Linked DNA regions of Daphnia pulex. The protein of the gene in region 2 purifies or fractionates together with the protein of the main gene of each other region. This does not show direct contact. Links are inferred from orthologs where the notes say so. Each region holds a gene or a part of one and is shown on either strand. Other genes may lie near its edges.

Region 1 (4,242 bases), on a different chromosome or scaffold from region 2:
TCGTACTAAATTCCAGAATACCAAATCATGTTGTATTTGCTATTATTTAGCTCGACTTCGTCGCTTGAATGATTTCGATTGTCCGCTTCTACTTGCCCAACATTGGCAGGCCGATGATACCAATCTCGATGCCTCTAGCTGTGCCAAAACTCTAATCCTTCAAGAAAGCCAAAATGGAGACATTCCGGTAAAATACCATTGCGGGGCTCTAATTTTCGACATATTCCATCGCTAAACTATAAGCGCACCCATTTTTTCTTCTTTCTATATTTCAGTGGGAGGAATTTACAGTGGCTGAACTATCAAGTTTCCTTAAGGTTTTGGAACGTGAAGAGAAAAATCACGAAATGCAGATTCGCGAGAGATACCAACTACTTAACGAGCGGCTACGAGAAACTATGCAACTTTCGAATCCAACAGCTTACAAAAGCATTTCAAGTAATCAAACCAACCACTTAGCAGTCTCAAATTGAATTTTAAAGAGAAACATAAAAATATATATGATGTTAATACCTGCTGATCTTATACAGAATCCGAGTGCTGTGATAGAAAGCTAATAAAACAATGTTGTTGATTCAAATTCAGTCATTCTTTTCCAAGTTTTTGCTTAGTAGTACAGACAAATTCAAAATCTCAAATGTCACATTCTTATGATATTTTCCTTATTTTAATTACAAATCAACGATCCGATTCACGAGAGGATACGAATTATTAAAAAAACACGATCTAAGATAACCTGATGAGAAGTTTTCAGACATTAGTCATACTCAGTTTTGATATATATAGGTATTAAAGCATTAAACTCGTAAAATTTCAAGGGATCGATTGTAGCAAATGGCAATCCAATCAGGTTGTGTTGCTCCCCACTGGATTTGGTTGATTTCACCTTCAGCCGCTGTGTAAGCAAGTATGGGATCTTCAATGGCTCGCGGCATTTGCTGGATATCCCATATCAAGGCTTGATGGTCATCACCTAAATTATTACAAACCAGATCAAATCGGATCAATTATATACAGCAATTGGCAGCATACATCGTGCACACGGTACTTGCACAATTCTAGTTACAAATAAAAAATATTTACCAGCTGTGCAAATATGACAGGAAGAATGTGGGGCCCAAGCGATGCCATTTACACATGCCCTGTGATTACTCAAACGAGCGACGGGAGTACACGGCACTCTTACATCGAGTATTACCACCTAACATTTGTAACAAAGAAATTTGTAACGTGTTCTCTATTTGAAATGAGGTGAAAAACCGAAAATACTTCACAAGCATCCATGGATATCGTTGCTAAATAAGAAGGGTCCTGTCTATTCCATGCTAGTCTTAACAGAGGACGATGCTGAGGATCTTCATATATGATTGTTGAATGTTCTAGGTGTCTAAGGTCAAACATTCTCACGGAGCCATCAGCGCCAACAGATGCAAACATATCTCGCCCGCCTCCTGCCCGGCTGAATGCGATATCATAGACCTCTTTATCATGTGCGATTAACTGAGTTTTTACGTGTCCTGCTACACCAGGGCCACCAACTCGACCAACAACCTTTAAGATAAATAGTTTGTTATAGAATAATAAGATTTAAAGAAGTTTTAAAGATATTGCTTTACCTGTCCAGTTTCCAAACCCCATATGGTACATGTGGTGTCAATACTAGATGTTCCAATAAGGTTAGGTTCAACTTCATTCCAATCAAAACTTGTAAGAGGAGCACAGAAGTCTGAGTTTTTGTTCTAGAAATTGTTTTCAATGAATTAAATTTCTTGTAAATAATAATAATTCATGTAAAAATTACATTGTTAAGGAGGCATTCTAATCTTGTGTCTGGTTCTCCTGCTTTCCATATGCGTAGATAGTCCCCACTTGTAGCCAGTAAATCAGGAAAAACACCTTTCTGATAACACACTTAATTATTAACATTTCTTTAACCATATTTGAAACAGGATAGTTCCATACCGCATCAGGAATCCACATAATTTTTGTAGTAGGATATGGATGATCAAAAGTACTTTTGGCACTGAATTCTGCTGAATCTTCATCTAATGAAATTACTTGAACTTTGTTGTTGTATTCTTCTACAAAACTTCCAATAGCCAATCTAATTTGTAAAGGAATTTGAGGTTAGTCAAGTTGAATATTACATTTCTTAAACATAAAATACATAATTTTAAACTTCCTCCCTCACCTGAATCTCTTATCTGGACGCACTGACCAATTCATACTGTAAAGAGTCCATGGTGCTTCGTACTTGTAAATTTCCTTTCGTTTGGGAGCAACATTTAGCCCCGCCATTTTTTAGAAAACGACACAATTCCCGGGAATCGTGATCAAATATGCAGAAGTGTTAGAATTTCTTATGTTGGCAATTTTAACCGGAATGACAGTGGACCCACGCAAACAAATAAACCTATCTATTAACTTAGGCCAGACAAGACAACCATTAAATTTTCTCACACTGAAGCTGTACACCAAGCGGTAGAAGTCTGAAACGAAAGTCAGAGTCAAAATCAAATACAGGCAAAATAGATACGATATTTTGAAGAAGAGCGCCACCACCGCTAAATATTGTCTGCTACCGATCGCTGCAGTGCTTCAACGTTCAACCGTTCAACCTTCAAGTAGTAACGTCGCAACTACAATTTGTGAATATTGTTATGTAATAACTCGGAATTTCTTGACAACTTTTCAGTCTCGGTCTTAATACTTTTAGATTTAAAGTAATTGCGATACTATAGAACGAACGAAACATCATACTCCGTATGTTATTATTCCTTTTTAATTTAATAAACACAATCGACTTCTCATGACCGAATTGGTGAATTATCAAAATATTTAGAAATCTAAAATATTTTGGCATTCATGATCAGTTATGTGTACATTGCTTCAACAATTTATATTACACTATTAACAATTCCTCTTTGATTGTGTACAGAGAAATGGAAACATCAAGCAAAATAAACAATGAAATTGAGTCTTTAAATGCTGAAGAATTAAACTGGATTCAGTTAAGAGAGGAAATTGGATCAGAAAGTTTGAAGAACCAGGAGACATTCAAAGAAAAATTCAACAGAAAATTTTCTGAAAATCCTTTTGTTCCTATTGGGTGTCTAGCAACTGCAGCTGCATTGACATATGGCCTGTGGTCCTTTCGTCATGGGTATAACTTTACAAATTGATTGTTGTGTGGTTATTGACCATAATATATTTTTTTTAAATCTGTAATTGTTTGAATTGATTCATTAGGAGACCCCAAATGTCACAAAAAATGATGAGGCTCAGGATTGCAGCACAAGGATTTACAGTTGTTGGCCTTATGGTTGGAGTTGGTGTTGCAAATGTGAAAGAAAATGTGTAAACTTGTCTCTCAGTCCCAATGTATCATATTATTTAGTACACATACATGAGACTTCTCATAGTATAATACATAAAAAAAAAACTCCCTCAATCTAGTGGGATTAAATGTATGGAAATCGCAGTTGAATTATTTTGCCACTCGACAAGGCCTACTACTACAGTAACGACCCCAATCGCTCGTCTTTTCATTTAATCAATTTATATTTTAAAAAACGTCTGCAATGTAGCAAATGCTAGCTCCAGGAAAAAAATAATTATTGTTAATGAATGATCGGAATGACGCGCACAGCCGCAAGACATTTCCTTCTTTTACACGGAAAACGGTTTGGCGCTATTGTTAAAGGACATGTTGCTATGGCAATGTGGAAAGTAAACACAGGAAAAGTTTTTTCAAAATCGTTGGTTTGGATTAACAATTTGTATTCGCGATGGAAATCATGTGTGATAGCAACATTGGTATAGATTATGAAGCCACTGGTAAATCAAATGATTTGGCGGTAAAAATAATTCTTCTTGGAGATAGCGCCGTAGGAAAATCAAAGTATGGATTTGTAGATTGATTGAGCGATGGGTATATGAAGCCATCTTCATCTTGTTGGATAGTATGGTATCCAAAAGAAACTGACGATAAATTTTGAACACAAATGCCTTTAATACTAGGAATGGCAGGAATATTACTCAATTGAAAATAGAGATTTTCTATATTGAGAATTGGAGGCTCTGACTCCCTTTTGAATTTGATTTCCATGAATGAACTGTTCAGCTTCTTTCTGTGCATTTAAAACTTTCTATATCTGGTAAATCCACAACCATCTAACTGCGCCTTGTACTCTGCCCTGTAATTTGAAAAAAAAAGAGTTGTATAAATTATTTTTCAAATCC
Region 2 (4,279 bases):
TGGAATAACCGTAAATATTTTCGTTTTGGGTTTAATCTGTTATAAAAACAAATTCTCGTTTATTCCATATTGCAAGTCCACCCTATTAATTAATTAGTTTAGTTATTATTACTGTCAGTTAATTCAGCATGATGAAATTATGGGGGAGCAGTGCAAGACTAATCGAATTGCCAGGTAGACAGAAGCAGCAGCGAGTGTTGGTTGTTTTGTTTTGTGTGGGATGTGACTGATGTCACGATGTCGGAACAGAAATGACGTCAGAAGACGAAATGTGCGTCCACTGCCAAGACATTCCAAAGGAATTTTTCGACAAGATCGATGACGAGCGGAAGCTGGAACGTGCCAATTTTCGAATCGGAAAAGAGGCTAATTAATAATCGTTGAGTTTACGTCGAATGTGAAACCTCGTCGACTTCTCCAAACGGAACAGGAGGTGAGCTTTCTCTTAATATGCTGAAATAGAACGAGGAAATGTCAAACTGGCGCATTAAAAGTGAAGTATTGCCCTTGGCATGCTATGCATGGCAGAGATTTGTTTACACCAACTGTTGTAAAGTTGACACGCGTTTTGGAGATGTTTCAGTTTCCAAATTTTTGTAGTTTGTCAGACCAGAAAATATCCAGACGACTCGAAAGATGGATGCAGTGTACAATTTGATGGATTAATTACTTCTTGTAGGGTAGCATCACAATATTCTAATTTAACAATGGTCAACTAAAACATTTCAATCATCAATTAGCAGTTGACAATTTTGCTGAAAAGCATGCAAAATTATGTGTCTGGGAATGCGGACATCATCGATTTTCCAAAATTACCCCAGCTAACTTTCGGAGACCTACAAAACTTTATAAACTGATCGATATTAACATAGCTGCTGATGTTCGCTCATTTGGAAAGGACGGTTTGCGTAGGTTTCTCCTATCAAGTTATATTTATTCATGGTCCTGTATCAATATTTCTTCTCAAGCTAGCCTATAGGAACTGGGTTTTTCGGAACAACTATATCTACATTACACACAACCTTCAACTATTGTTGGTTTTTCTCCTAACGGATTTGTGTGTAGATAAGTGGTAGCATGTGTTTTGAAGGTCACATTTAATGCCTCGTTGTTTGTTGTGGCCTCTTCAAAGGAAAAAAGAATCATAACAATGCTATTTCCTGAATTTGGGCAGTCAGCCTACTGCCGAATGATTTCATTTCACTACTTTTTCACTTAAATCAAAACCTTATTGTCAGTATGTTTTTTGGAATTTTACCATCTTGTTTTTTTTACTAGAGACACTGTGGAGAAGTTTAACTGTAAAATTAGTTTTCTGAAATAGATTTGTTTGTTTAATCATTGATTATTTCTTCCACGTGGTGGCGTCAGAGTCGTATCGTAAATATCGTCTGCATCACGAGAAATATCGGGCTGTTTTATTGAAGGTACAAGATATCTCGGATTTGGTCATAGTATTAAATTACGAGCTCGTTTCAAGCTATGTCGTAAAGACGACCGTCTATCAGGGCTACTTTCATATCTTCGTAGTTCTCAGTCCCCTCAGATCTCACAGAATAGCCTACGTTGTTATTAAAATGTAAGATTTTTTTCCGGCATTTGCCAGAAAACGTTTGGTTTATCTTGATTTAATCTGGTCTCTTTGATTCGCCACTGCAGTTTACATGTATCGACTAGCTGGATCTAAATCACTCTTATTTTTTGTTCACAGTAGTAGAAATGACTAGCAATACACAGCCATCCCAGAAACTGAGAAGGAATGGATCGCCCAGCACAAACAAATCAAGTGGTCCACTCAGAGCAACAATTCCAGTCAGTCTGATGAGTCAAAGTGTGATCCTTGATGTGCCAGAAGACCCACATCTCACCCACTCATCTCAGAGTGCATGGAGCAAAATTAATTTGCCCCACACTGCTGTTAGCCCCGCTAACACCTTGCAGTGTGGAATACCTAAACAAACACCTTGGAGAATGAGACAATGGTCCCCTACTCCAATCAAAGGTTTGCTATTTTCTTCTACAATACAAGCTTCTACTTCTTCTTCATGCACTAACATCCTCAATTCATTGATTTCAGTGGAGAACCCTGAGCCCACGCAAAAGATTGATGATTACCCATCCATGAGAAGAACTGCTTCCCTCGATGCCATTTATCTGAAAGGCCAGTGGCCCAGAGGAACAGCAGATTACGAGTCAAATCTTCTGCTTGACAAAGCCACACAAACTCCAGAGGAATGGATGGCTGATTTGAAGAGGTAATGAGCTGTTTAAGACATTGATTCTACTTTGTCCTAACCATTAAAGCCAAAAATCATTCATTCTCGTTTTGAAGGTTCTCTTGCCGAGGTGTAGAGTCTTCCCCTAGTCGTGATAGGAAGCAAAAGCAGCGCTTTTTTCTGGGCCATCAGGGTCTGAATCCACCACTAATTCAGCAGTATTCTTCGGGTTCCATCTCCCCCAACCGTGTGGCAGTCTCGACCAACACGGAGCAACATCCGGCTCTACCGCTATTCGGCTCGTCCAGTGATAATAAAAAGTCTCGAGCCATCCCAGTGCCCCCGCCGCCCACGACGCAGAGCTCCAGGGCCAGAAACTCGGTGGAAGGTTTCAACACCGAGATCGAGAAGTTGGTCTGCAGAGGCAACGGGGAGACGACATCCAACAAGGTCAGGACAAAGTTGAAAAGTCAATTCAACAAATGAACTTTTCTAATTGTTTTTTGTCTGGTTTGTAGGTGATGGAACCGACGCCGGATGGGCATCGAGCTCCGATTGCCGAACTGTTTAAGCGCAACAATTCTTGCCGCAGTGTCGACACACAAACGCCTGTCAAAGCGTACTCTACGAATTCTTCGTCAGGTGGATATCGAGTAGACAAGAGTACCAGACGTTTTGGGTATGATAATGGGGTGCCTTTTCTCTCATTCAGGGACTTCCTCGCCATGTGGATCCGTCTCTCCATCCGTTTGGGTGTTCGATCATCATCATTCTTCGTCTCGACCGCCCAGCGATGGATGTACAGCCGAAGAAATTGGTATGCGTAATCACTTTTTGGGTTGTTTTGTTGTTGTTCTTCCTCCTCCGGTTGTTTTTGGTTGTTGTTCTTTTCTTTGCAAGTATTTATAGACTTTTTCAGCTGGTGACAGCTTGCGTAGACGCACACGAGTACAGTCGACATTTCCGTTTGGTGTATGTATATATCTAGGCGACTATAATTCCTTATCGCCGGAAGATTTCCAAGCATTGTCACTTGGAACTTCGCCAAGGAACCGCTTCCTGTGCCGAGAACCGCCCGACGGCTGTGAGAAAGTCGAAACGCTCAAAATCGTCGAGCATACCGTCAAGTATATATACTTTCCTCCGTCGGCCGATTGATGTGGGTGTGTCACTAACGATTACCTTTTGCCATCCATTAGAAACGGACAGGACGCCGCGACGCTCTACTGTCCGCCAAAGCCCAGCTCCCAGTTTGTGCTGCAGCCGTCCAGCAGCTCTGCCTTTTGTTCGCTGAACAAATTCAACTCTTCATCCTTCTCGTCGGCCATGAAGAGCAGCAGCAGTTCGCATTTGTTTGGCGGAAGCGGCGGCGGAGGCCTTATTCACGGATCGAATCTCGGTGAATGTAGCGACCGTTCCAGCAGCGTTCCTCCGCAATGGCCCATTCAACAACAACAGATATCCTCCTCCTCCGCAGCCGTACAAATGATTCCCGCCACTCCCTCAGGACAGCCCATTTGATTCTTTCTCTGAAAATAGTTGCCGAGTTTTTTATTTTGGTGAGAGAGAGAAAAAGGGGAAGAAAAAAAGGACGGCCCGGAGAACTTTTAGGTTTTTTTTTTGTCGGCCTATAGTTATTTCTATTGTTGGAATCCCATCCAGCAGCATTTCGGGACTATGTTCCTCTGGTTATACAAGTTGAACTTTGCTGAAAAAAAAAAAGAAAAAATTTTCTTTCATTTCTTTTTCATGCAAAGTATTTCCCAGCCCTTTTTTTTTTCCAAAAAACAAAATTATTTTGTTGACGCCTAAAATGTTTCTTCTTTGATCAACCCAGGCTTTTTTTTTGTATTTTCAAGTGTAATTTTTTTATTTTGTTTTCTTTTGGTTGAGAGGTTATCTGAGGAAAGCCTTTTTGAAACACGAGACACACAGCACTGGAATTTGGTAAAACAAACAACAAATAATCCTTTTAAATTCGGGACGTCCTTGCTGTTATTGATTATTTTTTGTTTTTTTAATAATTTGAATCGGGAATGTTGCAATCCTTAATAATCTAAAAC

Evidence for each region.
Region 1: the proteins of protein FAM117B-like (region 2) and DDB1- and CUL4-associated factor 7 purify together in Homo sapiens (affinity purification with mass spectrometry; 3 studies listed by BioGRID and IntAct, with this or other methods). This does not show direct contact. The link is inferred for Daphnia pulex from reciprocal best matches to the Homo sapiens genes FAM117B and DCAF7.

What each region holds. Positions count from the first base shown.
Region 1 is NC_060025.1:4,763,420-4,767,661, reverse strand, and holds DDB1- and CUL4-associated factor 7, read right to left. Parts: upstream 2,499-4,242; 5' UTR 2,299-2,498; coding exon 2,192-2,298; intron 2,105-2,191; coding exon 1,963-2,104; intron 1,901-1,962; coding exon 1,802-1,900; intron 1,740-1,801; coding exon 1,617-1,739; intron 1,552-1,616; coding exon 1,270-1,551; intron 1,202-1,269; coding exon 1,084-1,201; intron 974-1,083; coding exon 798-973; 3' UTR 571-797; downstream 1-570. Other genes in the region: uncharacterized protein LOC124202359, read left to right, coding at 51-187, 276-473. UniProt on the Homo sapiens protein: Involved in craniofacial development. Acts upstream of the EDN1 pathway and is required for formation of the upper jaw equivalent, the palatoquadrate. The activity required for EDN1 pathway function differs between the first and second arches.
Region 2 is NC_060019.1:1,555,100-1,559,378, forward strand, and holds the start of protein FAM117B-like, read left to right. Parts: upstream 1-1,355; 5' UTR 1,356-1,427; exon of another isoform or gene 1,428-1,579; intron 1,580-1,711; 5' UTR 1,712-1,719; coding exon 1,720-2,002; intron 2,003-2,077; coding exon 2,078-2,255; intron 2,256-2,332; coding exon 2,333-2,666; intron 2,667-2,734; coding exon 2,735-2,858; intron 2,859-2,928; coding exon 2,929-3,033; intron 3,034-3,204; coding exon 3,205-3,343; intron 3,344-3,415; coding exon 3,416-3,737; 3' UTR 3,738-4,279.